7 linked regions of the Neurospora crassa OR74A genome follow. The protein of the gene in region 1 purifies or fractionates together with the protein of each later gene. This does not show direct contact. Links are inferred from orthologs where the notes say so. Each region holds a gene or a part of one and is shown in the gene's direction. Other genes may lie near its edges.

Region 1 (4,076 bases):
GACGGGGGTCAGTGCGCAGCCTGTAGAACCAGTAGCAGCGCAGCAGGGAACGGTTCGGTAGGCGGGTGCAGTCCGTGCAATTCCCCAGCAGGCATGGACGCCCCAGTCTCCCCCTGCTTGGCCTGCTGCAGTGCTGCGCTTTTACCTGCACTTGCACTGCTGCAATGCTGGTCGCTTTCGGTGCTGCACTCCTCTTCTGGGCAGCCAAAGCAACCCAGGGCGACGAGGAAAAAAAGGGCCAAGTGCAAATGAGACGGACCAGGGGGTCGCTTAGCAGGGTTTGGTTAGATTAACTCGACACTAACTACGACCGTAGACGGAATGGGTGCAGACGAGTTAGTATCAAGACAAGATAGCAAGTATCACCACGAGCTCCGCATTCAGGATGAGGTGCCGGCCTCCCTATTGTCCTGCCCCATCCGTGCCATTGTGATTGACATTGTTGCAAGCTTCTGGAAGCGGGACTGGAGGTCAAGATCTAGGAAAAGAAAAGCACGATGGAGGCCGTTGAAGATGGACTGCTGCCACCGCCGCTGGATAGGCAGGGACAGGACTAGTCCGACCAACCGACGGGACCTTTTTTGGATCTGTCGGTGCTGCTGTGCATGAAAGCTGCAGCAAGAATGGCAAATGCAGGGCAGTCAGAACACGACGGGTTCCGCCCCCACTTTATCGTCCCCCCTTTGATGGTCTAGCGGAACCACCCCGGCTCAGCAGGCATCTCCGGACGGGATTGGGAATGGCGCCATTGGGTGGGTGCCCACTTGCTCCGACCGATGATGGACGCGAGCTTGAACGCTCTGGGTGGGACGACGAGGGTACAGAGGAGAGCCTCCTGTTTCTGCATGTATGTATGTATGTATGTATGTACACTACAGTAATCACAGACCGTGAAGTCCTATGCAGTTGCTGGTGTGCATTCAGCTACAGGAGAAGAGTTTGCAGCCACTCTAGCAGTTCAAGCAGCGATATCATATGCCTTTTAGGAGGATATATGTTCTTACTGGGGATTATCTTCTCAATACTCGACCGAAGTTCGCACCACGATTCTGTTCCAAGTTCCAACTAAGCCTCAAAGTGCAATTTCGTCGATGACAGCCGTGAGAAAGCTTGGCAAGACCGCCGACGGTCCGTCATCGGTCAAGGCGGGGGTCCGTGGCCCGGCAGAGAAGAACGCCCGTCGCCAGCGGGCTGGGAACTCGGGCACAAAGAAAGAACAAAAGCCGCTGTGCACACACACCATGGAGCTCCTTTCTAGTGTACACCAGACTGGACAGCACCAGACGCCAAGATGGCAGAACATCCCACTTGCCCTTTGCGACAATCCAACCTTTTTACCATTGTGCACAATAGCCTCACAGCAGATCACGGTTAAGATCAAGAAAATAATTGCATCTCAGTCAATCCCCATTGCTACAGAAGTGACCAAACATCCATTCGCACAACAACTTGCACTTCACGCCTCTGAGTTGTTGTCGCAGCGACGTGCTCGATAAGCTGCATCACGTGACTGTCCCGCATCATCCCAGCCCACAAAGTGCTCCTCAGCAAAATCGAGCCTCTAGCCTTGGCCAGGGCTTTTTTGGCTGGCAACGAACTGAACTTCTCCACGAGGCGAAAAAATCGTCCTGGACAGCGCAGCCTCAGCCAAAGTCTCCAGCATTTCTACGTGCTGCTTTGCGCGCCGCGTCCCCTATCACCACTTTATCCATATCTCCTCCAGATTAGCCAAGTGCCGAGGAGTTGCCCATCATGGTGAGTTGGGAATACAGCCATAGCCTTATGGTTATGGCTTCGAGTTCATATAATCTTCTGCCCCTCCTTTGACTGGAAAGCCAACTCCATCGTCACCTAACCTCATCACCGCCCACCCTGCCCTCCACCCCCCCCTTCAACCCTCGACCACCCCCGCTCCCCGCCTGTCCCGCTCACCACCAAGTGTCGTCGTGTGTTGTGACCCGTGGTGACCATTACTGATCATCAACAGCCTCCCCCACCTCACCAAAAGCCTGAGAATGTTCTCAAGCGCGCCCACGAGCTCATCGGGGTCAACCAGGCCCCCGCCGCCCTGACCCTGCTCCACGAGCACATCACCTCGAAGCGCTCCCGCAATGTCCCCATCGCCTCCCTGGAGCCCGTCATGCTCCTACTCGTCGAGCTCTCCGTCGAGCAGAAGAAGGGCAAGCTCGCCAAGGACGCCCTCTACCAGTACAAGAACATCGCCCAGAACACCAACGTCGCCACCATCGAGTTGGTTCTCAAGAAGTTCATCGAGCTCGCCGCCGAGAAGGTCACTGCTGCCCAGGCCAAGGCCGACGAGGTCCAGTCCAGCATCGAGGCCACCACCTCCAACATCGACGATCTCGAGGCCAGCGAGACCCCCGAGTCCATCCTGCTCGCTACCGTTTCCGGTGAGCAGTCTCGCGACCGCACCGACCGCGCTATCGTCACTCCTTGGCTGAAGTTCCTTTGGGAGGCTTACCGCACTGTTCTTGACATTCTCAGGAACAATGCCCGCCTCGAGGTTCTCTATCAGAGCACCGCTATGCAGGCTTTCGACTTCTGCCTCAAGTACACCCGCAAGACCGAGTTCCGCCGCCTCTGCGAGCTTCTCCGCAACCATGTCCAGACCGCCGCCAAGTACTCGGCCCAGATGCACGCCATCAACCTGAACGACCCCGATACTCTTCAGCGTCACCTTGAGACCCGTTTCCAGCAGCTCAACGTCGCCGTTGAGCTCGAGCTCTGGCAGGAGGCTTTCCGCAGTGTTGAGGATATCCACACCCTCCTCAGCCTCAGCAAGCGCCCCGCCAAGAACGTCATGATGGCCAACTACTACGAGAAGCTCACCCGTATCTTCCTTGTCGGCGAGAACTACCTCTTCCACGCCGCTGCTTGGGCTCGTTACTACAACCTCTTGCGCCAGTCTGCTGCTCTCATTGCTTCTGGCCACAGCAAGAAGGCTGATAACCCGGCTTGCAGCGATGCTGACCTCCAGAGGGCTGCCACCTTTGTCATTCTCTCCGCCCTCTCCATTCCCGTCATCAGCACCTCGCGCTCTCGCGGTGCCATGGTGGACTTCGATGAGGCCCGCAAGAACAAGAACTCTCGTTTGACCCACCTGCTCGGCATGGCCCAGGCTCCTACCCGTGCTGGACTCTTCCGCGATGCCCTTTCCAAGTCGCTTCTCCGCCGCGCCCAGCCCCAGATTCGCGATCTTTACAACATCCTCGAGGTCGACTTCCATCCTCTTTCCATTTGCCAGAAGATTTCCCCCATTCTCGCGGAGATTGGCGCCGATGCCGAGATGCAGAAGTACATCCTTCCTCTTCAGCAGGTCATTCTCACCCGCCTGTTCCAGCAGCTTTCGCAGGTGTATGAGACTGTCGACCTTGAGTTCGTCGAGAGCTTGGCTCAATTCCCCGAGCCTTTCCAGGTCACTCGCGGCACCATTGAGAAGTTCATTATGAACGGCAACAAGAAGGGCGATCTCGCCATCCGCATGGACCACGCCACTGGCGTTCTTAGCTTCGATGCTGATGTCTTCTCTTCCGCCAAGGCTGTCCACGCCGGTTCCTCTGCCGGCTCTGCCGAGAGCGAGACTGGCTCTGTACAGCGTCTCCAGAGCACTCCCTCCCAGATTGTGCGCTCTCAGCTCACTCGCCTCGCTGAGGCTCTTTACACCACCTGCCGCTATATCGATCCTAGCTTCAACGAGGCTCGCATCAAGGCTCGTGATGAGGCCCTTGCTCGTGCTAAGGCTGGAGCCGAGAAGGAGCACCAGGAGGTCCTTGCTCGCAAGGAGATCATCCAGACGCGCAAGGATAAGGCTTCTGAGGCTCAGGCCCAGAAGGAGAAGGAGAACGCTCGCAAGAAGCTGCTCCAGGAGCAGGCCCTCCAACAGGCTGAGGCCGCCCGTCTTGCCGAGGAACAGAAGCTCCGCGAGGCGAAGCGTCTTGCCAACGAGCGCGAGCAAATCAAGAGGAAGGAAGTTGAAGCCCTCCTCAAGGATATGAAGCTTGAGGAACTTCAGGGTGAGGACATCGAGACCCTTGACAGCAACAAGATCCGCATGA
Region 2 (4,107 bases), on another chromosome or scaffold:
GGCCACCAGCCTTCCTTGACTGCCAACATTGACCTCTGTCGGCAACTATCTTCAACGTCTTGATGCCGATGTCATTTCTGCCTCGACAACATGTGGAATAGACTGCTATCAGAGTAGATTGGTTGTGAGTCACTGCCCGGCCGGGGCGCAGGAAACATATGTCGACAGGCAGCCAGAGCTCTGTTCGGAAGTCCGGTTTGATGTCAGTAACCCTGCGCCTCTCTGCATCGTGATCGTTGACGGCATCCGTGATGCTGCGAGTGATTTCCTTAAACGATACGGTTGTGGGAGGAGTCCGAGCGCTTCTAGTTGTCAACCCTAACTAGGTAACTATGCACATCCTCCTACCGAGCGTCATGATCAAGCTTGATGTCGTCGGCCATACAAGTACTCCCCTCCAAACAAACAATACGCTGCCATTGACGCATTATCTTTAGCCGAGGGAGTACTAGATATTAACGCTCACTTGTGAAGGATGGGTCGGATCTGTTCATCCACGGAGGAAACTATCATCACCTGGACAGAGAAAGTGGCAATATCAATGAAACTGTCTAGTCATCATCATCCGCATTATAGTCGTCCATTGGAAGCGATGACCATGTATTCGGGAAAATAGGCGATGTAAGGCTGTGTTCAGCAGATCTCGGATCTGTTTTGGCTGATAATGAGCACAAACTGACTTCAGCAAGACATTAAGTACACGCCCATGATTAACCAACTCTCCACGATGCCACTTGGGTCACTGTAAGAATCTTTGGGCAGAAGTTGTCCTGAAATGAAGGGGAGATCAATGGGAAGCGGAAACAGAACAAAGGACAGAGGAACAATAGTAAAAGTGGAACCCAATGTGGACGACCACTTGCGTGAACATCAGCTAGATACTTGGTGCAACCGCAATGATAGGATAGTAGAAGCTCCTGTCATGTTATGGAATTCTGAGACAGAAATCATGGGGTGGACTGAGAGTTCAGCCCGACTGGGGAGATGGAATTTAGGTACCTACTACTTATATGGAGGGTCGTTACATACCTACAAAAAGTGCACACGGGGCACCTAAGGCAAGCAATGACAGCGAAACAGGAACAGTGGGCTTTCACCTGGCATTAGATACCAAGGTAAAGTTGGTACCTTTAAGAGGTAACCTATCAACCGTGGCACATTTCAGCTTACACCTCTTTTGTAGCTCCAACCCTGCTACCATGTTGGTACATAGCGTTGCGGGGCTAGAGGTACCTAAGTAGGAAGCCCGACGACCTACCTTACTTCACATCAGGGCAAGCGGGGTCTTTTTTTTTTACGATCCGCCCTGCCACCAGACTCGGCGCACGGTGCAGCGGTCTCGACATTTTTTGAGACGAGGGAACTGACATTGTCCACAACCCAGGCGTCGACCCACGTTGCCTCTGGAGAAACTTAAGAGTGTCAGCCTCCTCCGCCTTGTTTGGCCCTCTCCACTCTGCTCGTAGTATTCCGAGACGTGCGGCATCTTGAGAATTTCTCCCCCTCCCCCATTTCCCGCTTTGCGCCTAGGATAGCGGTCCGCCCACAGTCACCCATCTCGATCAGTCCGCAGAGCGAAATCACAGACAAGATGTCGGACAAACTCACTCGGTGCGTTTACGATCCCAAGGCCGCACGCGTGTGTGCTCTGCTTGTAGAAGCATCGGCCGATACTGGCTTGTGCTGGTCTGGCTGTATGCGCTGTCTGGCTTCCACCTTGCTGACCTCGCCTGTTTCGTATCTGTAGTATCGCTATCGTTAGTAGCGACAAGTGCAAGCCCAAGAAGTGTCGCCAGGAATGCAAGAAGTCATGCCCTGTTGTGCGCTCCGGTAAACTCTGTGTAAGCTTCCCTCTTCTCCATAGTCCTCGTGCGGTAACAAGACCAAACAGCTAACTGCTCTCTAACAGATCGAGGTAAGATCTCTCCGGACCCCTTGCGATCCCCGTGTTTTGCGCGACAACACCCTCCTGACATCCGATATCTAGGTGTCTCCCGAGTCGCGCATCGCCTTCATCTCCGAACAGCTGTGCATTGGTTGTGGTATCTGCCCCAAGCGCTGCCCCTTCGGCGCCATCACCATTATCAACCTGCCCACCAACCTCGAGAGCCAGATCACCCATCGCTATGCCGCCAACAGCTTCAAGCTCCACCGTCTTCCCATGCCCCGTCCCGGCAACGTCTTGGGTCTTGTCGGAACGAACGGTATCGGCAAGAGTACCGCGCTCAAGATTCTCTCCGGAAAGCTTAAGCCCAACCTGGGCAGGTACGACAACCCGCCTGACTGGGAGGACGTCATCAAGTACTTCCGCGGTTCTGAGTTGCAGAGTAAGGAATACGGCTCACCTTGGAAGGAGATCAGAGGATTGACAAATCGCAGACTACTTCACCAAGCTGCTCGAGGATGACCTGAAGGCTGTTGTCAAGCCCCAGTACGTCGACCAGATCCCCAAGGCCATCCGCACCCCCGACAAGAGCGTCAAGTTCCTGATTGAGGGCCGCCGCTCTCTCGATAACCTTGACGAGGTTCTCGACACCCTTGGTAGGTTCCACATGCTTTGCGCTTTGTGATTTGCTTATTTGGACGCCCTGGCTGATCTTGAATAGAGTTGCGCCACATCTACGACCGTGATGTTACCCTCCTTTCCGGTGGTGAGCTCCAGCGTTTCGCCATCGGTACCGTTTGCGTTCAGAAGGCCGATGTCTACATGTTCGACGAGCCTTCCTCGTATCTCGATGTCAAGCAAAGATTGAGTGCCGCCCGCATCATTCGCTCTCTCCTCCGGCCCGACGACTACGTCATTGTCGTCGAGCACGATTTGTCTGTCCTCGACTACCTCTCCGATTACGTCTGCTGTCTTTACGGTCAGCCCGCCGTATACGGTGTCGTCACCCTCCCTCACTCCGTCCGTGAAGGCATCAACATTTTCCTCGATGGTCACATCCCTACTGAGAACTTGCGTTTCCGTGACGAGAGCTTGACCTTCCGCATTGCCGAAGGCACTGAGGAGTTCATCCAGGAAAAGTCGCGCGCCTTCAAGTACCCTGCCATGGAGAAGACCATGGGCAACTTCCACCTGTCCATCGACGCCGGTTCTTTCTCTGATTCCGAGATTATCGTCATGATGGGTGAGAACGGTACTGGAAAGACCACCTTCTGCCGTCTTTTGGCCGGTGTTCTTAAGCCTGACGGCACCAAGAGGGTTCCCGAGATGAAGATCTCCATGAAGCCCCAGACCATCACTCCCAAGTTCGAGGGTACCGTTCGCCAGCTGTTCTTCAAGAAGATCAAGGCTGCTTTCTTGTCTCCTCAGTTCCAGACTGACGTCGTCAAGCCTCTGAAGCTTGATGATTTCATTGACCAGGAAGTCAAGCATCTGTCCGGTGGTGAACTGCAAAGAGTTGCCATTGTTCTTGCTCTCGGTATTCCTGCTGATATCTACCTCATCGATGAGCCTTCTGCCTGTACGTGAACCTCTTTCCCACCCCCTTAAGATGCATTTCTAACCGTCTTCCAGATCTCGACTCCGAGCAACGTATCATTGCCTCCCGTGTTATCAAGCGTTTCATTATGCACGCCAAGAAGACTGCCTTCATCGTCGAGCACGATTTCATCATGGCCACTTACCTTGCCGACCGTGTTATTGTCTTTGATGGCAAGCCTGGTATCGACGCTCACGCCAACAAGCCCGAGTCTTTGCTTACTGGCTGCAACACCTTTTTGAAGAACCTTGATGTCACTTTCCGCCGTGATCCTACCAACTATCGCCCTCGCATCAACAAGCTGAACTCTCAGCTTGACCAGGAGCAGAAGCTCAGTGGCAACTACGTAAGTTTTGTTTCTGTTTCAATTTGGAAAAGTTCTCCCATCCTGCGACCTCATACTAACATTGCTTTCCCCTATAGTTCTTCTTGGACGATCCCGAGAAGAGCAGTTAAAGACGGTGTCTCCAATGATGTTCTTCCCAAGAATAATAAGACTAGCGGCAGAGGCAACAATACTAAACGCCCCCGTCGTTGTTATGATGATGCATCGGATTCCGGCGTTCTAGGCGTCCAAAAAGAAAATGGCAGTTCCTCCATTCATTGCGGCGCCGGGGATGGTAGC
Region 3 (4,088 bases), on another chromosome or scaffold:
AGCTGATGAGACAGCACCGGAACCGGAGTCCCTTTTCTCGTCTTGGGGATTGCCGGACGCAACCAAGCAACGTTGTGACAGCGGCGAGGACTGGGAGAATCTCTCTCCCACACAACCTGTCACACATGGTAGCCCTGAAAAGAGGTCAGGCTATGCTCCTCCATCATCAGTGGCTTTCCAAGACATGCTCAGATCCACTCCGTCCGTCGGCGATTACCCAGGTAGCCCATCGAAGCGCGCCGATAGAAGATTTAGTCTGCAGTCTCAGCTGTCAGAAAGGTCAAGCGAACCTGATCGCAGTTTCCTTGATCTGAGTGACCTCGGTGACGATCTCGGCGACCTTCCCCAGATATCTTCAACTTCACTTTCGAAGCAGGGCTCGAGACCCGCGCCCCATTTTAGGTCTTTGTCGGTTGCCAACGGCGGCTTGGGTTCGCGACGGAATAAGACACAGCTGGCGGAAGGTCCCCCACCTGCTCCCCCGCCGAATCGTGCCCTTCCTCCAATCCCGAGAAAATCGTCACTTCAAGTCTGTCACTCAGCATATTCACCTTGAGCTGTGATTTGCATTTACTCGTATCTGGCGCCATACCATCATTCAACGCATCGCCATTTCTGGACGTCTAGGAAGCACGACCACTGAAGTTTCCGAGTATCTGTCAGCGACAATACTTGCAGAGCAAAGGGCGCCTGGGGATTCAACTGATAGAGATAAACCGCCATCGAACCGCTGATTGACTCCGTCACCATTTCCTTTGTCTCTCTTTTTTCAAGGTCGGGTTCAGTCGAAAAACAAGATACCGGTTAGATGGATGGAATAAGGATGCAGGAAGCAAGATACTGGATACCCAGGTGATGAGGGTACATTTATACCACCGGCGACATCCGGAACGTAACGTGTGAACGATCTCCTTTGTCAGGTCGATTTGGTGCGGGATTTGTCTTTTTTTGCCATATACCTTGTATTATGTAATGTTGGGGTACCTACTGTGTATGTAGGTGATTAATTGAGGAGGTGAGTGTGGTGGGCATGAAGGGCGGGGTGGTTTTCGATTCTCAATCGGAGGAGGGGGGTCACAGAGTCAGAAGAAAGCTGGTGCCCGGCAGGCTCCGTGGCCAACTTAGATAGCAGTGAGTTTAGAGCATCAGATATGGATGCTTGGAGAAATCTGAATCGAGTTCAAACTCTCAAACTTTAACCTCGGTGCCAGCCATCAACTTGCAAACAAAGGTACCTACTATGTACAACACGTCCTGGTGTCGAGAGAGTTGAGCTAGCTCCATGTTGCGGCGCCGCGCCCTGCCCCTGGTAGGCCTGGAGGAGCAACGTTCGGGTTAGGGTTGTGATGCCTGTGATGCCCCCACTAATGGATGCGAAGTGGAAGCAACCCAAAGCGGATAATGAAAGAAGGGGCAAAACACCTCAACGTATACGTCTGGATGCGACCAGTCCTGCTTTGTCAAAGAACGAAGCTTCGTTTGTAGGGAGCCGTATTGGCTGTCATGTGCGAATCTGCTGCCTTGATATTGTACGTAGGATAGAGCACCGTTAGCTGCCAAACAGGGCTGATTTCCTGAGTGAAAGCCGAGTCAGCAAGACAATTTTTGCCCCACACTCAAATATCCAAAAATTCCCACCTCCAAAAAATGGGGGGGAAAACTGCCCTGGCTTTTCAAACTTGAGCCCCACCAAAAATCGCCGCCAAACCAGCGCAACGTCAACCCATCGCGACGACAACCCACGGCCATTTCAGTCATCCACCGCACCCATCACCAGACGAGCCGAACCTGCGGAATCAAAACAACCACATACTGTCAAGATGGCTGCCGTTCAACAGAAGTCAGTACTCCTCCGCTTGCCTCGACAGCAAACGCCCGTCTGCATCCACGCCCCCGATTCCCCCGATTGCCATTTTTCCGGCGTGCTTCACAACCCAACACGTATGCATTTGATTTCTCGGAGAGTAAGAGTCTAACATAGTTCGCGACCATTCAGGCACGACTGGGCCGACGATGACGAGCTCGAGGAGACCTCCACCGAACTCCCGCCCCCTCAGAAGATCACCAACAAGGATGGCAGCACGACCATCATCGAGTACCGCCTGAACGACAACGGCCAGAAGGTCAAGACCACACGACGCATCCGCTACATCACCCACCGTGAGGTCGTCAACCCCCGCGTCGCTGAGCGCAAGTCGTGGACCAAGTTCGGCCTTAGCGTCAAGGACGGCGCCGGCCCGGCCCCCGACACCACCTCGGTCGGCGAGAACATCATCTTCAAGCCTTCCTTCAACTGGCGCCAGGAAGCCAAGGATGAGAGCAAGGACCCCAACGCCCAGGCCATGAAGGACAAGTTGAAGGACAAGAAGGTCAAGTGCCGTATTTGCAACGGCGAGCATTTCACCGCCCGCTGTCCCTACAAGGACACCATGGCCCCCATCGGCGAGGCCGGCGCTGCCGCCGACGTCGCCGCCAGTGCTGCTGACGAGGCTGCTGCCGCTTCCCAGGGTGCGGCGGGCGCGGGCAAGAAGGGCTCGTACGTGCCACCTGCGCTGCGTGGTGCCGGTGGGGCCGCGGCTGCTGGAGAGAGGATGGGCGGCAAGTACGGCGAGCGCGACGATCTCGCCACTCTCAGAGTTACCAACGTACGTTTGCCCCTAGTGTCCCCCAAAAGGACGCGGAGGAGGAGGAGGAGGAGGAGGTGGTGGTGGTGGTGGAGAAGAAGAAGAAGCAGAAGGAAAAGGGAAAGAGGGAGTAGGCGACAGACTTGCAAAAGCTGCTCTGTTCTGCTCCTAAAGAGGGGTTATTATGACGGGACTGATTCGTGCTAACATGTTTTCTACGCTTAGGTCTCCGAGATGGCCGAGGAACAAGAGCTTCGCGATATGTTCGAGCGGTTCGGTCGCGTCACTCGTGTCTTCCTTGCCAAGGATCGCGATACGGGTCTTGCCAAGGGCTTCGCCTTCATCAGTTTCGCTGATCGCAGCGACGCTGTCAAGGCTTGCGCCAAGATGGACGGTTTCGGTTTCAGACATTTGATCCTTAGGGTTGAGTTCGCGAAGAAGGCTGCGTAAACTTAATGGGTCTTCTAGACGGACGAGGAGGCGGAGGAGAGGGAGGAAGGGGTTAGAGGAATGATGGAAGAAGCAGCGATGTTTTGGTCCCTAATGCGGTCTGCACAAGGAAGTGCGTCATCAAAATGGGAAAGGACTCTTTGATACTACTATTACTTGATCTGGTTCCTGTCTCTTCTTGCTGTGGGGGTTCATACTAATGGGGAACAAGCGGCAAAATTTGTCATGATCGAGAGATTTCTTCCGCCTTTTAAGCATATCGGGCCAGGGTGGCCAGGTGGTTATAGTTGACTTTTGTTACATGGATGACGGGCTAACTCCAGGTTGAACAAGATCGGTGTAATAGACTGGCAACATGCCCGGACTACAGGAGCCCAAAACGCACCGAAGCTCTTCAGAATACAGTGTGGTCTTCTTGTCGATTCAGGGCGCATGCCAGTGTTTAAAACAGCTGACAGCCTCTCTGAACTCTTGAATTATTATCAGTGCATTTATCTATCCCGCTGAACGTCCCTGGCATCAAACATTATATTACTTGGTGACAGAATCTGTTATGATGTCCTATCATCAACTCAACCGACCAATCGCAAAGACCGTAAGTTCCTGAGCTCTCTCAAAGCAGCCGGCACGTCCCTTCATCCTCTTCATCTTCCTGTCTCATTCATCTCATCACCGTAAAAGTCGTTCATCCCTCCGCCCTGCCCTCATAAATCATGAAGTCTTGGAAGATGTCGACAAAGAAAAATGGCTGGTTGCCTATAAGAGAAATAAGAAACAAATATCACTCGAGAATGAAATGAAAAAAAAAAAAAAGGGGGGGGGGGGGGGACATTCGGCGCAAAGAAACCTCAGCAACAACACCATGAACACACAAGAACAATAGCCTCCCGCCCATCATAACCCCTACACCTTCTCATCCCTAGACCTTCTTGCCTTTCCCCTCCTCCTCCTCCTTCGGTCATGATCACTCTCTCCATCAGTATCATTCCCTTCCTGCCTTTCCTTCTCCTCCTC
Region 4 (4,200 bases), on another chromosome or scaffold:
GAACCCATAACTGGGCTGAGTTCAGGGTGCTCTTCGAGGGGACGCTTCCTGTCAGTATCAGGAAGTTCCGGCGCGGCAGGACACGGCCAACGTGGGAGCAAGGAGCCTGGAACGCACCCAAGTACGGCCGGCTCATTAGCACACCGAACGATGCCGAGATGTTGGGAATAGCCATGGACGGCACCATGTATCACTTTACGCTGCTTGATCAGCACGCATTGCGTCTGTTGCGATTCATTGTCAACTTGTATAACCTCAGGGGGAAGAGAGACGAGGAAAGGCTGCTGCACGCGGAGCCGAACCTGGGTCCCACTGAGCCGTCGCATGTGGATGGTGATGTGCTGAAGACACTCTTGGATGCGGAAGTCTTGCAAGAGCTGATCAACACGGAGGAGCTGTTGGCGCGGTTCAAGAGCCTGTTGGATAAGTTGGATGGAGGCAAACATACTGCTGAGTGGATGGGCGAGGGCACTGCGGACCAGTATTTTGAACTGGCGTATAACGTGTTGATGTATTATCTTAGGCAAGTTTACTAAGTGCTTGGAATTCTAAGGCGGGGGGGGGGGGGGGGGGGAAGGGCAAGATACACTGGTAATAAACGGACGTGTGATCCAGTGTCGGCCTACAAGCCGTCCTGATGAATGCCTTGGTGGTGTAGCTACAGCATAATAGAAAAGCGAATAAAGAATATCACTAGCAACATCTGGTTAATGAAATACCCATTATGACAAGGTGAGGGAGTTGGCCTGCCCCCTTGGATGGAATATCGCACAAAATACACCAAAGTGGTAGAAAGTAAATACAGAAATTAGCCCAGCAAGTGCCCCACTTGTGCCTTAACAAGCAGGTGCCCCGCATTCTGCACCAACGAGTCGGTCACTGTACTTGTACGCGGGAGTGCAGGAGCTTCCACTTCTTTTTCACCACTGCACTGTACTGTACTGTATTTGTCTTGACTGCTGTCTCCAACAGTCTGTGCAGTGTCAAGTCAAGGGCTTGGTCAAAGCGACACCTCCTGGCTCCGGCACAAGTAAAAAAAAAAGTTTGGAGTGGCGATCCTTGTCTGGATTTTTCTGCTGAATCGAGACTCCTTTGACTTTGCGACTTCGACTACTTGGGATTGAGTTAGAGAACGGGACATGATTGCCGTTTTTTGACCGTAGACGGAGACAATACCAAACACTTTATACGGGTTGAAAGAAAGCGCATAGGCAGACGGTGTAAGTACAGGTACTGAGATAGGTACGTACCTGACCTCTATATAGTGTAGCAACAAACCAGAGCGGGATTCGATACAAAGAACAACGAAAGAAAAAAAAAAGATCCACGGTGCCAAGTACCTACAGTACCATCGATCCACTCTGCAGCACCACCACCGAAAAGTGATACAAGTGACAAGCCCTATCCCGTCGACAAGGGGGGACCTACAGCACCAAAAAAAGTACGCCGCCTGCCTTCTTTAGCAGCCAGCCATATCGCATATAACGGCCCAGTAGCCCCAGTCGGCCGCCCCACGAACCCACCACCAGAACCACCTAGCGAGCAACGAGGTCTTCACCCGGACTTCGACTTTCGTCACAAGGAGAGAAGGAGAGCCCATCAGGATCCTCTCCCCCGCCCATCCTACCGACGACATCCCCGCCTCAAGGTATTCCCCGGTCGACTACCAACAGTCCAGTTAGCCCAACATGGCGCCCAAGAAGAAGGGAAACAAGAAGGCCAACGATGACTGGGAGGCCGAGCTGGGCGAGTCCATCGCCCCCGTCAACAACAACGGCGCCGATGCTGCTGCCGCCTCTCCCGCTGCCGCCGACGACGAGGCCGCTTCCGGTGGTGGCGGTCTGATGGAGAGAATGCGCAAGGCCAAGGAGAAGCGCAAGAAGAAGGGTCTTGCCGACGACTGGGAGGCTGAGCTGGGCGAAGACGCTCCCGGCGCCGAGAAGCCCGCTGCCGCCGAGCCCGTCCCCGATCTGTCGGCCAAGGTCGCCGAGGAGGCCAACCTCGACGACGAGTTCGCTCTCCCCGAGAAGAAGGGCAAGGGTGGCAAGGGCAAGCAGCAGCAGCAGCAACAGAAGGCTGCTCCCGCCGCCGCCGCCAAGAAGGACGAGGATGCTGCCGATGAGGATGGCCCTAGGGTGTTGACCAAGGCCGAGAAGGAGAAGCTCAAGAAGGAGCGTGAGAAGCAGCGCAAGAAGGAGCAGGTGAGTACCCAGTCATTATCACTATTACCCACTAATGACTATACATACATCAGACACAAACGGAAGACTAACAACAACTTCTTTTCACTAAACAGGCTGCTGCTAAGAAGAAGGGCACCACACCCGCCGCCGCCGCCAAGGCCGAGCCCGCAAAGGAGGAGAAGAAGGCCGAAACCCCCAGCCCCGTCTCGACCCCCGCTTCCACTCCCGCCCCCGAAGCCGCCGCCGGTGGCAAGAAGAAGAAGCTCCCCGCCCACCTGCTCGCCCTCCAGAAGCAGCAGGAGGAGCTGCGCCGTCGCCAAGAGGAGGAGGCTAGGCTCCTCGCCGAGGAGAAGGCCAGGATAGAGGAGGAGGAGCGCGCCGCTGCCGAGGAGGCCAAGCGCAAGGAGGAGGAGCGCGCCCGCAAGAAGGAGAAGGAGAAGCAGAGGATCGAGCAGCTCAAGAAGGAGGGCAAGTTCATGACCAAGGCCCAGAAGGAGGAGAAGGCCCGCAACGAGAGGAAGCTGCAGCAGATGTTGGCGGCCGGTATCAAGGTCAACGCGCTCGAGGGTGAAGAGTCCAAGAAGAAGCCTGTCTACGACGACAAGAAGAAGAGGGCTGCTAACAAGAAGGTGAGTCTGTCCGGGATTCTTGCTACAATTACGGTATACTATGGACGGCGCTAACCAGTGTCTACTTGCTACAGAAGGACGAGGAAAAGGCTCTCGCCGAGGCCGCTGAGCGCGCAAGACTCGCCGCTGAGGCTCTGGTCAAGGAGCAAGAGGAGAAGGCCCGCATCGAGCGCGAGAAGGCCGAGAAGGAGGCTGCTGCCAAGGCTGAGGCCGCCAAGGCCGCCGCTGAGGACAGCGTCGACGAGGACTGGGAGGCCGCTGTTGCCTCTGACAAGGAGGATGTCAAGGACAGCTGGGACGCCGACTCCGACGAGGAGGAGGAGACCAAGAAGGAAGAGACCAAGAAGGAGGCTTCTAAGCCCGCCGCGGCCAACGGCAAGACTCAGGCCAAGAAGGAGGAGTCCGAGTCCGAGTCCGAGTCTGAGGAGGAATCTGAAGAGGAATCTTCTGAAGACGAGGAGGCTACCGCCAGGGAACTGGAGGAGGCCCGGAGGAAGAAGGAGGCTGCCGAGCGCCGCGAGAAGGCTCACCAGGCCGCTCTGGCTGCCAGGTCTGCGGACAACCTCCGCTCGCCTATTTGCTGTATTCTTGGTCACGTCGATACTGGTAAGACGAAGCTGCTCGACAAGATTCGTCAGACCAACGTCCAGGAGGGTGAAGCCGGTGGTATCACTCAGCAGATTGGTGCCACTTACTTCCCCGTTGAGGCCATCAAGCAGAAGACGCACGTCGTCAACAGGGACGGCAAGTTCGAGTTCAAGGTTCCCGGTCTTCTTATCATCGATACCCCCGGTCACGAGTCTTTCTCCAACTTGCGTTCGCGTGGTTCTTCGCTCTGCAACATCGCCATCTTGGTTGTCGATATCATGCACGGTCTCGAACCCCAGACTCTCGAGTCCATGAGACTGCTCCGTGAGAGGAAGACGCCCTTCATCGTCGCTCTCAACAAGATCGATCGTCTTTACGGCTGGAAGAAGATCGAGAACAACGGCTTCCAGGAGTCGTTGGCCCTCCAGAACAAGGCTGTCCAGAACGAGTTCAAGAACCGTCTCGAGCAGACCAAGCTCGCCTTCGCCGAGCAGGGTTTCAACTCGGAGCTCTTCTACCAGAACAAGTCCATGGCCAAATACGTCTCCTTGGTCCCCACCTCTGCCCACACCGGCGAGGGTATCCCCGACATGTTGAAGCTCATTGTCCAGCTTACCCAGGAGCGCATGGTTGGCTCTCTCATGTACCTCTCCGAGGTCCAGGCTACCGTTCTCGAAGTCAAGGCCATCGAGGGTTTCGGTATGACCATCGATGTCATTCTCACCAACGGTATCCTCAGGGAAGGTGACCGCATTATCCTATGTGGTACAGAAGGCGTCATCAAAACCAATATCAGAGCC
Region 5 (3,627 bases), on another chromosome or scaffold:
GGCTGGCGGATGACTTACAGCGTAGTGGCGTTCATGGTCACCGTCAGACTAGTCGAAAAGATGTTGAACAGAAAGGTGGGTGTAGTGATGGTGGTCAGCTTGATGACAAAGTATAGCACACTCGAGATGCGGTGCAACAGCCAGAGGATGATGGTGAACCATGAAGTCGGGGTGTGTTCGGGAACCACATCGCTAGTAGCTTTCGAGACCGCATCGCTGGCGAGAGCGACGACAGACGAGAGGGCTTCTGTAGGATCGGCGAGGATTGCCGTCGCAGTCGTGGACGTTGTCTCGGAAAGCACCGAGCTCATGGCGTTGCCGAGGTTGCTAAGAGACTCCATTTTCAGAAGCCTGAAGCACCAAGCAAGCAAGCCAAGAGTTACCGGGCGAGCCCGTCGTGTAGATCGGTTCTGACAGAAAGAAGAGAGTGTGTATGTATGTTTTTGTTTTTGTGTTTCCTTTTTTTTATAGGGTTGTAGGTATCGCGGTAGTGTCGCGCCGTCGTCGTGGGGATGGTCGTGAAGAATAGTTGGTGTTCGATCGATCAGCGTGTCTGAACCCCAAAAGTACCGTCGCAACCTGATCAAGACCTATGAGCTGTCCCCTCCCCGATGTGCCTGTGGTTGAAACCCAACTCTTACTACCTGGTCTGCGGTGTCGTCGCTCTGTTCTTTTTCATATCGGTCCAAGTGTTGTCACCCAAGACGGAGACCGTCGAGAAAAGCGAAACGGGTGAGCTCCTCCAAAAGTAACGACATGTGCGGAGGGTTTAGATGAGCCCAGTGTCGTCGGGTGTTGGTCGGCCCTCGGGATTCGTTTGGGTGCCGTGCAAAAGTCGAATCTCCAAGTCGCCGTTGGTGGACAAGCAAGGTTCAGTGATTGAAGCTCCCTAGCTCGACGATGTCCAAGGAAGATTCCAGGCTTATCAGTGACTAACCCCACTGTCGGTTCACGATTGACGTCGTTGTTCCTGCCCACTGAGCTGGCGCTTGGCACAGTGGAGTTCGGGGCAGGTGGAGTAAGTAGAGGTACCTAACCGAGAGCAGGTACCTGCCTTTGCGTACCGTTGTTCCCACCTGGGCTGCTGTGCGCTTCCTTACCTAGGTACCCGACTTACCCCACCTCAAAAAAAAAAGATGGAGCCGCGTCTCACTTGCCGTCACGGTCAGAACGTGAAATTCACCCCTCAATCCGGCGCACCAGCCACAGCCTACTTCGTTCCCTCCCAAAGTGCCCACGCCACTTTTGCAGCCTGTCTGCACGTAATTTTTGGTTGGTACCCGAAAAATACTGCGACGCATCTGGCTAACTTTGAGTGAGTCCTTTGAGCCTCGCTGGACCCTCCGAGAACCCGCTGCCGCAACCAGAACTCGAACTTCCAGAGGACCTTTCCCAGCTGTGGCCACTTGCAGCGAAACTCGGTCAATTTTCTTTCTCGGCCATCAACCCCTCCAGACCATCCACTCGAATTCCATCTCGCCCATTGTCGCGAAGCTCGTCGCCGACATTACCCTCCCCCTTTCAACACCACTAACACCACCACTTATTTCACCGTTTGCCCCGCCCGGGAAAAGGCACCAGTCGCCAACATGTCGCTCTCAAACTGCCGTTTCTATGAGGAGAAGTATCCTGAAATCGACTCGTTCGTTATGGTCAATGTTAAGCAAGTACGATACACTGGGGTCCCGGTGGTGCGCATGCGCATGTGGATGCGTCAGAGCTGACCCCCAGATTAGATTGCCGATATGGGCGCCTACGTCAAGCTTCTCGAGTACGACAACATCGACGGCATGATCCTGCTCTCTGAGCTTTCCAGAAGACGTATTCGTTCCATCCAGAAGTTGATCCGTGTCGGTCGCAACGAGGTCGTCGTCGTTCTCCGTGTCGACAAGGAGAAGGGTTATATCGATTTGTCCAAGCGTCGTGTGTCCCCCGAGGATATCGTTCGTTGCGAGGAGCGTTACAACAAGAGCAAGATCGTCCACTCGATTATGCGCCACGTTGCCGAGAAGACTCTTGTTCCCATCGAGCAGCTTTACGAGACAATAGGATGGCCCCTCAACAAGAAATACGGCCACTCGCTTGATGCCTTCAAGCTTTCGATCACGTACGTCATTCCGGGAAATAGGCGTACAGCTGTGGGACAAAATGGCGGTATTGGACAAGATGCTGACATGGATGTGAAGCAACCCCGACGTCTGGAATGACATCCAGTTCCCCACCGAGGCCGTTGCCGAGGAGCTCAAGACCTACATCAGCAAGCGTTTGACTCCCCAGCCTACCAAGGTCCGTGCCGATGTTGAGGTCACTTGCTTCGGCTACGAGGGTATCGATGCTATCAAGACCGCTCTCCGCACTGCGGAGGCTCGCAACACTGAGGAAACCCAGGTCAAGTGCAGACTTGTGTCCCCTCCCCTTTATGTGTAAGTCTTTGCCAGAAATAGTCTTGCAATGTTGAAGACAGAGTGGAAGCTAATAACTATACACAGCCTTACCAACACCTGCTTGGACAAGAATGCCGGTATTGCCCGCCTTCAGGAGGCCATTCAAGACATGCGGACCAGCATCGAGGCTGCTGGTGGCCACCTTGTGGTGAAGATGGAGCCCAAGGCTGTCACTGAGTCCGATGATGCTGAGCTCCAAGCTCTTATGGAGAAGCGTGAGCGTGAGAACGCTGAGGTCAGCGGCGACGAGAGTGTCAGCGAGTCCGACGACAATATCCCCGAGACCGTCTAAAGCGCCTCTTCATTTTGCAGCCATTCTTAAACGGAGCTATCTTTGCAGGCTCATTGGGATACTCGACACTATTTTGAGGAAAGGTTTAGGGATGCATGTATACAGTTTTTGCGACACAGGGCTGGCGTCTAGGGGATACAAAAGTCCTTCAGGCGGTAGAGGAATCAACCAAAAGATTGCATCAAGCGTATGCCTAATGAATGTGAGCGAGGGACGAGGATTGATGAACACAAGACTTGATATGGATACATAGTCATTTTATGGATGCACTTGCTGTAACTAGGTAGATCTAGGCGTTCAAGGATATGCAGCTACCGGGGCTGATAAGCGATCTCATCGTTTTCTTATCGCCGCCTGCCCGGGCATGTGGCTGCAATTATTGTCTTCTCCATGTTAACACACAAGCTCCGTACTGCTCACTGCCCTGCTCACTGAGCACGTTGAGGCGAACATACGCCCTCTATTTCACAGCAGCATTGCGATTCACAGCAAAGAGTTGCATCGCATTGACATCTTCGGTAGCTCGATAACTCGCTTGGTCGGATAGCGATGGCGGCGCGATGGGGAGCAGGAATTCGGAACGGATTCCTCGGTCAGTTCTCACACTACCTCATTCGCTACGCAACATGGATCCCTCCATTGGTGGTCTTCAACGGCTGGGTTGCCGAGATCACACAAATCAAGGGGCCGTCCATGTATCCTTTCTTCAACCCGCACTACAATGAGTCAACACGTCGGGACATCGTACTGGTCTCTAAGTGGTACCCGGACCGGAACCTCAAGCGCGGCATGATTGTGACCTTTAGGTGAGATCCAAAATCTCATCCTACAGCATCTGGCGTGCCGCATTCGGGGCATTGGTTGGGAACCTGACGACTAACTGTAACCCAG
Region 6 (3,966 bases), on another chromosome or scaffold:
ACTGGCGTAGCAGCTCCTATCCAACCGGCAATGTTGAATAGCGTCTTGTTATACCATTGGACCTTGACCCCGTGCGCCCACTCCATGTACCGTCCCCAACCTGCCGGGCCATGTTAGCAACTGACTTTCCGCATCGTCGTTATTGTCTCCTCCCACAGCGCAAGCTGTCTTTCCCAAGATCTGGTTTTGGTTTGTCTTACTCCAATAAGCAAACTTGCGCCCCAAAAACTTGCCCGCGAACGGTATTAGCACCAAGTTCAAGAGAAGCTGCAGCTGCTCGAGACTCTGTTCCCATTCCTTTTGTGCGTCTGATTCGTCGTCGTACTCGGAGTCGTCCGAGCCTAGGATACTGCTGGAGATGGACGGGAGGGAGTCGACATCGTCGTTGTCGGTTGACGGGGAGTGGTCGTGGAGGACGTAGGAATCGGAGGGGGTGGACATGGTTTTGGATGTCCCGAATGCGCAATTTGTCTGTCTGAGGGTATCGCGTCTCTGGCCGGGAGTAGGTAGCTATCGTCAGTGTGGTTTGGATGAGGCGAGCAAGTGGTCGGCGCCGGCGCACGGTCGGTTGTCGCGGTGAAGATGGTACTGTAAGTAGCTATCGTAGCTCGGGCAAATTGCGATAGTTCGGGATGGAGACACTGTACGAATCGGCGTAACGCCTGACGTGTAGGATATTGTAGAAATCGCGTGGGACGAACTTGATTGCTGCTGGGAGATTCGTTGTCGGTTACGAACACAGCGATACACGGAGATGGATACCTCTACGGACTCGGCGCGCCTTCCAAGGTTCGTGATGGAGCTGGTTGTTGTCGGTGACCGATGACGGGCCACGGCACCAACTGCTGCAGCAGTGCAGCTATGCGATGCTGGAATGGACACCACTCACCTATCGCTGCCGCCAAGCACTGCACCGGACTGCAAGTGCCAGTGCCAACCCAACCGTGTCGGACTGTGCGGCCGTGGCTCGAGCGGGTTGAAGGCACCGTGCTGCAGGGAGGAGGGCTGCATGGCCTGGAAAATGGAGAAGCGGAGGCGATTTGTAGTTGCAAGTGGCGGGCAGCTGTCTGAGCTCTTCCCACCCCACTTGTCAGGTGATTGAGAAGACTGACTCACAGTTTCGCTTCAATCAACGTCATGAGGTGAACACAGCTGAGGCGTGGTGCCGGTGCCCCATCCAGAGCCGTGTGTACAGAAAGAACTCCGCTCAGTCTCCAGCCCAACGACAGAACTAAACGACAGTAGTAGTAGGTAACCAGACCAGGACCCAAGCGGCATCCAACTACCTAGGTCCCCGCAAAGAACAATTCCAGGTCCGAAACTGAAAGAAAGCTGAGATCAGTCTGCCTGCATCGATACCTCTCCCGACCCCAAAGTCTACCTAATCTCATCCATCGACAAAATCCACTCTCTGCGACCAACAAAGAGTCCACCGGAAGAGACATCGATTACAAAGAAAAAGACGGACAATCACACACCTACAGACAGACAGACAGACACCACCACACTCTCAAACACACCAGTGGCCCAGCATGGATTCTGAAGTAAGTACCTGGGATGGATCTCCTTGCTTCAGTACACACTCACTACCTCTACGCCCACACAACACACCCTCCGTCCTCCCCGACCCTACCACCACGCTAGAGGCAGACACCTCGAGCCCTGGGGGGAGCCACGCTTCTCGCCTAGTCAAAAATACTAAGGAAATAAAAAGTCCCATTCACCACACTGCACACCCCTCACTGTACTTTGCTACCTACGCAGTGCAATTATACCTATCCCCGGCCCCAGCCCTCAAGTCCCCTGACGTGTACTGCCCCTCCAAGGCGCCAACCCTCTCCCTCCACCCCCAGCCCAAAATCCACCATAAAGTTCTGGCACTCTGCAGCGCGAAAACGCCGCCAATCATCCCAAAAAATTCCGAGCTTTCCTATCCACACTCGACGGCGAAATCCTTGACCGCTATCGCGACTCCCACGACAAGCGCCTTATCCACTCCGATATACTAACCCTTTAGGCGCCCTCTATCAAAAGACGCCCCTCGCGCAAGTCTGTCACCTTTACCGACGAGAAGCTAGTTGTCAACCCCGACGGTTCTGTCACCATGGACGCCTCTCCCGCCGACGAAATCAAGGAGACTGCCCAGTCCCACTCTGCTCGTACGCCGCCCCTCCACGCCGCTCTCGGGGCCTTTACTGATGCCCCCCAAGCCACCGAGCCCCAGGATGCTGCTGCTGCTGCCGCCCCCGCCGCCGATGATGGCCTCGACCTTTCGCTCATGAAGAAGAAGAAGAAGAAGGTCAAGAAGGAGGACGATGCCGACGCCGCTGCTGATGAGGCCGCCCCTGCCGAGGGTGACGGTGCTATCGACCTCACCATGAAGAAAAAGAAGAAGAAGAAGGTCGTCAAGGAGGATGATGAGTTCGCCAAGAAGCTGGAGGCTCTCAACATTGAGGGCAAGGAGGGCGAGGAGGCCGCCCCCCAGGAGGACGAGCAGGAGGGCGATATGGACCAGGGCACCGGCATTTGGGCCCACGACGAGACCAAGCCCATCAGCTACAACGCTCTTCTGTCCCGTTTCTTCGCCCTTCTCTCGCAAAAGAACCCCGACCACGCCTCTACCGGTACACGGTCGTACAAGATCCCGCCCCCGCAGTGTCTCCGTGAAGGCAACAAGAAGACCATCTTCGCCAACCTGCCCGAGATTTGCAAGCGCATGAAGAGAGCCGACGAGCACGTTACTTCTTACCTTTTCGCCGAATTGGGTACCAGCGGTTCCGTCGACGGCAGCAGGCGTCTGGTCATCAAGGGTCGTTTCCAGCAGAAGCAGATCGAGAACGTTCTGCGTACCTACATTATCGGTATGTCTATTTGATCCTGTCGTCGTTTGGACGTTTTGCGCCCAAGTAGACAATGTCACCACCAGCACCCAACGTTTTGCTCTGACTACAAATGCTAACATGCTCAACAGAGTACGTTACCTGCAAGACGTGCCGTTCCCCCAACACCGAGCTCTCCAAGGGCGAGAACCGTCTTTAGTAAGTTGGCCTCTGTTTACGACGACCATAGCCCCAAAATGCTGACATGTCACAGTTTCATTACCTGCAACTCTTGCGGTTCTAGGCGGTCTGTCCAGGCCATTAAGACCGGTTTCTCTGCCCAGGTCGGCAAGAGAAAGAAGATGCAGGGTTAAGCGGTTTTTGTTTTCTTGTTTCGAGGCCCTTGCAGTTTGCTTTTCAATGTTTTCACGCTTCAAGGACGGAGTTAAGACGGCATTGTATATGGCTGGTTGGGCACGGGTCTTTTACGAAGTAGCACGGCCCCTCTGAACGGCAATCTCTCATCTCCAGTACACGAGAGAGAGGATGGAAGAGAGAGTCTGTGCTACAAAATCAGGTGAATTCCTTACGCGGTAGGGTACGGGTTAATATGACGATACTTGATGAAGAATTGGTACACAAAAAGTTCTGGTTTTTGATGATGGTGGCACACTTATCCTTACTTTGCATAGGGAGTCTGATAAAGAGGAGGGCTTTCTTCTTTTCCTGAGCTTGTCTGATTTATATGGATGAGGGCTGCGAGGTTGTATCTAGACTGATGTGGGATTCAGAGGTTCTCAGGTCATTCATGACCATGGTCAGCAAGCTAGACTGGGAGAGCAAGGAAGAGGCTGACTGAGCGCAGGATTACGAAGCGATGGATTTTGAGATCTTGCGAACAGGAATTATTCTCTGTTCTTTGCAGTATGTATAGCCATTCAGTCTACCTTTATAAACTACATTATGTTATCGAAACTCAAAGTGGCAGTTGAGTAAAATGATAAACCTTGATACTCCGCGATTGGTGAGAAAAAGCGGCCGCTTAGGTTCGAAATCTCACCTTGACGCGTATACATTGCGTATACACTACGTTCCGATGTTTTGGCGATCGATCCATGATATGCCGAGCACATGCATGATAGTTAGC
Region 7 (3,987 bases), on another chromosome or scaffold:
GAGTACTTTGCGCATGGACTGGAAATACTTCTGCACCATGTCCTGGACGAAGAGGTGGATGCCCATCCTCCGCCTGCTCCAGAACATGCCATCCTCCCACGCGTGCTGTCACTTCTCTCATCGTTCAAGCAGTACTTGGACATTGTGGTGCAGTGTACCCGCAAGACGGAAGTGCGTTCCTGGCGTACTCTGTTCGCCTATCTCCCTCCACCTCAGGAGCTGTTTGAGGAGAGCTTGCAGCGTGGGAGCCTCAAGACTGCTGGCGGCTACTTACTCATCCTCCATACCTTTGACGAACTCGCAACAGCAAGCGAGCAGAGTGTGCGTCTCTTAAGCAGAGCAATGCGCGAGGGCGACTGGGAGCTATGCAAAGAGCTGGCGCGGTTTTTAGCAGCGCTCGATGAAACGGGGGACACGCTGCGTGAAGCAATGGAGCTGGCCAAGATGCGAGTGAAGCAGGAAAGTGAGCTGGAGGATGGCCATGGCAGCGTAGGCAGCGGGCTGGGCACAATGCTTGGAGTTCCTCAGGGTGGTGGTGCTAACGGTGCTTCCAGCACTACCAGCTCATTGATTTCCAATACCAAGGGGATCATAGGTAGTGACTGGGATGCTGACAGGCGCACAATCAGCGACGCCGGCAGCGTTGTCAGTGCTAATCGGTACGAAGGTTAATGAAGTGGATGGAAATTGGAAAGCGGATAGTTGGTTGTAGGATTGTTGGATATCCATAGCCGTGGCGCTCACGATCCTACCAGAACGTCACTTTATGATGAAGCGGGGGTCTTGAGCTCTAGACACATGCTGTAGGGCAACACAGATGTTATAGAAGCCGGGATGTTTCAAGATAATCTAGAACAGCTATAATCACAGGCGACTGGCGTTCTTATCCCCCATTTTTATTTATTTATATATATTTTTTTTGGGTTTTCCGTCTCCAACAATATACCTGCTCAAAAATAAGGCACAAACTGTAGCACTGAACGTCATGACGCCCAATAGAATACCTACCTTAATGACAGAGTACATGCTTCCATCCCCAGTACCTGTGAACGTACAATTAAAGTCATACGCTGGGCCGTTGGGCTGACTGAAGGCCGACGAAAGGTACCCGCCCGCTACCTACCTACCTACCTAGGTAGGTACTTAGGTAGTCAGATGGTCGATTTTGCAGACCTGATAACCTACCTCTGTGTAGTGCCCTGGGTAGGTCGGGACTGCTGATAAACAGACTGCGATGAGCCAGGGGCGGGGGGGCACTGCAACCTGCCCTGCGGGGACCACTGCAACGGCGATGAACCCCCCACCAAAAAAAAAAGTCCCTTGTCATGGACTGTCAGCCTGTTTGGCTCCCGGTCTAGAGTCCAGACCCCCTCGCCTGCCCTGCCGTTGCCCTGCACCAGGGACGGCTTTGAACCCTCTTCCACCTGAACTCCCATCAAACCGTCGCAAAAAAGCATCACAATCCTCTCCAACGTCTTGTCGTCATTGTGCCTTGTGCCAGCTCAATCTCATCCGACTCGGACCTCCCACTCCCCATCTACGGCCCGGCGCGCATTAGTTCGGCCCAACAAAAGGTTCAAACGCCGTACTTGACCCCGGCACCCGGGATTTTGGCCTCGTTGATGCGAAGCGCCAGCCGACGGTCGTTCGCGCCCACTTTCCTCCCACCACCACCTTCCTCCCTTCCTTTTATGCGCCGAGTATAGACGTGGTGTCGCCGGCCATGGATGACTTTGTGAGCGAGTCTGAGAGCGACTATGCCAGCTATTGGCGCGACTGGGTATGCTTCTCTTGCAATTGTTGTTATTGTTTACTACAGTAAAGGTTCCCCAATCATGCTGACATTTGCGCGTCCGCCTGCAGTTTATTTCCTCGCGAGGCAATGAGTACTTTTGCGAAATTGACGAGGACTACATCACTGATAGGTTCAATCTAACTGGTCTCAACACTGAGGTCCAGTACTACCAATATGCTCTCGATCTCATCACCGATGTCTTCGACCTCGACTGCGATGACGACATGCGGGAAACAATAGAGAAGTCTGCTAGGCACCTGTACGGTCTTGTCCATGCTCGATACATTGTCACAACGCGGGGTCTTCAAAAAATGGTCAGTAATCAACTCTCAGCATTCCATCTTCATCCAGCGTCTCCTCGTCTTCATCCGTGACTAACGCACTTCCCACCAACAGTTCGAAAAGTACAAAAAAGCCGACTTTGGCAAGTGCCCGCGCGTCATGTGTTCCTCGCACCCTCTGCTGCCCATGGGTCTCTCGGACGTGCCCAACTCCAAGCCGGTGAAGCTGTACTGCGCGCGTTGCGAGGATATTTACAACCCCAAGTCGTCGCGCCACGCCGCCATTGACGGCGCCTACTTCGGCACCTCGTTCCACAACATCTTCTTTCAGGTATACCCGACCCTGGTGCCCGCCAAGAGCGTCGAGCGCTACATTCCGCGCTGCTACGGCTTCAAGGTGCACGCCGCTGCCGCTCTGGTGCGCTGGCAGAACAGCCAGCGGGACGAGATGCGTAGGCGGCTGAGGAAGCTCGAGGTCGAGAGCGGGTTCAAGGACGCCGAGGACGAGGCTGAGCTTGACGATGATGACGAGGAGGAGGAGGAGGAAGAGGAGGAAGAGGAGGAGCTGGCTGCTATGGATGAGGCTGAAGGTGCCCAACAGCAACATGCGGCGGCGGCGGCAGGTACAGCAACGGGAGGCGTTGCTGCCGGCGGTGAAGGCGTTCATTAGAAAGGGCCTGCTGCTACTGGTGGAGAAGCGGATGAAGAGTATTGGAATTCAGAAGCCACGATTGGAGCCGCCGACGAAGCTGACGATGAAGCTGAGCTACCAAACGAGCCAAACGAGCCGAACCATTGGTTGACACCTCTCATGTCTGCTGCTGCAAGGCTGCGACGGAGTCTCAGGCTAGGGGAGGACTATGAAGAGCAGGCTGAAGTGGAGTTCGATGAGTGGATGGAACAGGCGAGGTACGGGATCTTTTGACTTTTGAGGTGGTGGAATGCATATACCATACAGTATCGAGTAACAAAGTATGAGTACAGGTGCCTCTCTTCTCTTTGTTTTTTTGTTTCTATTCCCGCACCCCATAAGCCTCTACACAGCGGACGTCGGGATCGATGCGAATAAGGGAGAGAGAGCCATTGATAGAGTGTTTATGTTCTTTGGTCTAGCTATACGTCTTTTCGGTTCTTACCAGACGATTTCTTCTCACCTTGCCGGCTTTGCTTCTCTTCGTCTGTGCTGAACTGCACCCTTCTCTGTTTCAAGCCTCCTAAAAACCAATCGTCAAATCGACGGGAAGTTGAACTTAACGCTTGAAAGGCAGTCTCTTGGAGCGTGAAAATTCAAAACGACCAGACCATATATCCAAGCGTCTACTGAGGAAAGATTCACAAGCGGTGTCATGCGGCAACACGAACCTTTCAAATACATGAACTGTTACCACAGCATAAACACGTTGATTAATGCCGAAGACCAGTGTGCTCAAACTTCCCTTGAAGAGTTACCAGGTAGATATGTGTACATATGGATAGGTTCCTCATTTCCCTATCTCAAAACGCCTCCTGAACATAAGAGAGACTGTACCAAAACCCATGTTGGTGACATAAAACCATTTGTTGTTCCTCATATTTCCTCGTTTAGAGAAATAATCGCTTTTGTCATCAAGCCCACCCATCCGGGCCAAGTCCCTACTTCCGGAAAATGCACCTTGACTCTTCTGATCCGACAATGCGTCGAAATTTGCCTTTCATATCTGATCGTCATTTACCCGTCTCTGTAAGCTGTGTCAACCTGTTCTCATTGATCAACGTCAAGCGACGGTGGTTTCCTCCCCGTGATGATCCCACCGGGCTGGTCCGGTCCCACATTGCTTTCCAAACCGGTGCCATTGGCCCGTACCACGGGGTGCCCATAGCTGCTGCCGTGATCTAAAGAATCCGGACTCAGCGCCTCCTCCTCGTCTCCCG

Evidence for each region.
Region 2: the proteins of NCU00040 (region 1) and NCU03061 purify together in Saccharomyces cerevisiae (affinity purification with mass spectrometry; 3 studies listed by BioGRID, with this or other methods). This does not show direct contact. The link is inferred for Neurospora crassa OR74A from reciprocal best matches to the Saccharomyces cerevisiae genes RPG1 and RLI1.
Region 3: the proteins of NCU00040 (region 1) and NCU08046 purify together in Saccharomyces cerevisiae (affinity purification with mass spectrometry; 13 studies listed by BioGRID, with this or other methods). This does not show direct contact. The link is inferred for Neurospora crassa OR74A from reciprocal best matches to the Saccharomyces cerevisiae genes RPG1 and TIF35.
Region 4: the proteins of NCU00040 (region 1) and NCU05270 purify together in Saccharomyces cerevisiae (affinity purification with mass spectrometry; 3 studies listed by BioGRID, with this or other methods). This does not show direct contact. The link is inferred for Neurospora crassa OR74A from reciprocal best matches to the Saccharomyces cerevisiae genes RPG1 and FUN12.
Region 5: the proteins of NCU00040 (region 1) and NCU08277 purify together in Saccharomyces cerevisiae (affinity purification with mass spectrometry, with the first as the bait; 4 studies listed by BioGRID). This does not show direct contact. The link is inferred for Neurospora crassa OR74A from reciprocal best matches to the Saccharomyces cerevisiae genes RPG1 and SUI2.
Region 6: the proteins of NCU00040 (region 1) and NCU04640 purify together in Saccharomyces cerevisiae (affinity purification with mass spectrometry, with the first as the bait; 3 studies listed by BioGRID). This does not show direct contact. The link is inferred for Neurospora crassa OR74A from reciprocal best matches to the Saccharomyces cerevisiae genes RPG1 and SUI3.
Region 7: the proteins of NCU00040 (region 1) and ckb-2 purify together in Saccharomyces cerevisiae (affinity purification with mass spectrometry; 3 studies listed by BioGRID). This does not show direct contact. The link is inferred for Neurospora crassa OR74A from reciprocal best matches to the Saccharomyces cerevisiae genes RPG1 and CKB2.

What each region holds. Positions count from the first base shown.
Region 1 is NC_026503.1:2,375,198-2,379,273, reverse strand, and holds the start of NCU00040 (eukaryotic translation initiation factor 3 110 kDa subunit), read left to right. Parts: upstream 1-1,276; 5' UTR 1,277-1,752; coding exon 1,753-1,755; intron 1,756-1,987; coding exon 1,988-4,076.
Region 2 is NC_026501.1:4,385,435-4,389,541, forward strand, and holds the start of NCU03061 (translation initiation factor RLI1), read left to right. Parts: upstream 1-1,307; 5' UTR 1,308-1,591; coding exon 1,592-1,611; intron 1,612-1,747; coding exon 1,748-1,841; intron 1,842-1,909; coding exon 1,910-1,915; intron 1,916-1,987; coding exon 1,988-2,327; intron 2,328-2,379; coding exon 2,380-2,541; intron 2,542-2,606; coding exon 2,607-3,464; intron 3,465-3,517; coding exon 3,518-3,828; intron 3,829-3,905; coding exon 3,906-3,938; 3' UTR 3,939-4,107. UniProt on the Saccharomyces cerevisiae protein: Component of the multifactor complex (MFC) involved in translation initiation. Required for the binding of MFC to the 40S ribosome. Required for the processing and nuclear export of the 60S and 40S ribosomal subunits.
Region 3 is NC_026504.1:4,018,414-4,022,501, reverse strand, and holds NCU08046 (eukaryotic translation initiation factor 3), read left to right. Parts: upstream 1-1,433; 5' UTR 1,434-1,503; coding exon 1,504-1,529; intron 1,530-1,585; coding exon 1,586-1,840; intron 1,841-1,996; coding exon 1,997-2,645; intron 2,646-2,849; coding exon 2,850-3,074; 3' UTR 3,075-3,588; downstream 3,589-4,088. Other genes in the region: NCU08047 (hypothetical protein), read left to right, coding at 1-556. UniProt on the Saccharomyces cerevisiae protein: RNA-binding component of the eukaryotic translation initiation factor 3 (eIF-3) complex, which is involved in protein synthesis of a specialized repertoire of mRNAs and, together with other initiation factors, stimulates binding of mRNA and methionyl-tRNAi to the 40S ribosome.
Region 4 is NC_026504.1:5,514,275-5,518,474, forward strand, and holds the start of NCU05270 (mitochondrial translation initiation factor IF-2), read left to right. Parts: upstream 1-1,400; 5' UTR 1,401-1,688; coding exon 1,689-2,201; intron 2,202-2,296; coding exon 2,297-2,812; intron 2,813-2,886; coding exon 2,887-4,200. Other genes in the region: NCU05271 (hypothetical protein), read left to right, coding at 1-536. UniProt on the Saccharomyces cerevisiae protein: Plays a role in translation initiation. Translational GTPase that catalyzes the joining of the 40S and 60S subunits to form the 80S initiation complex with the initiator methionine-tRNA in the P-site base paired to the start codon.
Region 5 is NC_026504.1:2,569,593-2,573,219, reverse strand, and holds NCU08277 (eukaryotic translation initiation factor 2 alpha subunit), read left to right. Parts: upstream 1-1,152; 5' UTR 1,153-1,589; coding exon 1,590-1,667; intron 1,668-1,736; coding exon 1,737-2,107; intron 2,108-2,186; coding exon 2,187-2,423; intron 2,424-2,489; coding exon 2,490-2,736; 3' UTR 2,737-3,127; downstream 3,128-3,627. Other genes in the region: NCU08276 (hypothetical protein), read right to left, coding at 19-341; NCU16791 (mitochondrial inner membrane protease subunit 2), read left to right, coding at 3,286-3,542. UniProt on the Saccharomyces cerevisiae protein: eIF-2 functions in the early steps of protein synthesis by forming a ternary complex with GTP and initiator tRNA. This complex binds to a 40S ribosomal subunit, followed by mRNA binding to form a 43S pre-initiation complex.
Region 6 is NC_026505.1:1,363,958-1,367,923, reverse strand, and holds NCU04640 (eukaryotic translation initiation factor 2 beta subunit), read left to right. Parts: upstream 1-1,166; 5' UTR 1,167-1,532; coding exon 1,533-1,544; exon of another isoform or gene 1,545-2,017; coding exon 2,018-2,159; intron 2,160-2,210; coding exon 2,211-2,861; intron 2,862-2,971; coding exon 2,972-3,038; intron 3,039-3,093; coding exon 3,094-3,193; 3' UTR 3,194-3,840; downstream 3,841-3,966. Other genes in the region: NCU16952 (hypothetical protein), read right to left, coding at 1-100, 201-441. UniProt on the Saccharomyces cerevisiae protein: Component of the eIF2 complex that functions in the early steps of protein synthesis by forming a ternary complex with GTP and initiator tRNA.
Region 7 is NC_026501.1:3,448,591-3,452,577, forward strand, and holds ckb-2 (casein kinase II subunit beta-2), read left to right. Parts: upstream 1-1,349; 5' UTR 1,350-1,723; coding exon 1,724-1,780; intron 1,781-1,863; coding exon 1,864-2,109; intron 2,110-2,191; coding exon 2,192-2,746; 3' UTR 2,747-3,487; downstream 3,488-3,987. Other genes in the region: NCU11228 (DUF1339 domain-containing protein), read left to right, coding at 1-672; NCU02755 (PAP2 domain-containing protein), read right to left, coding at 3,818-3,987. UniProt on the Saccharomyces cerevisiae protein: Regulatory subunit of casein kinase II/CK2.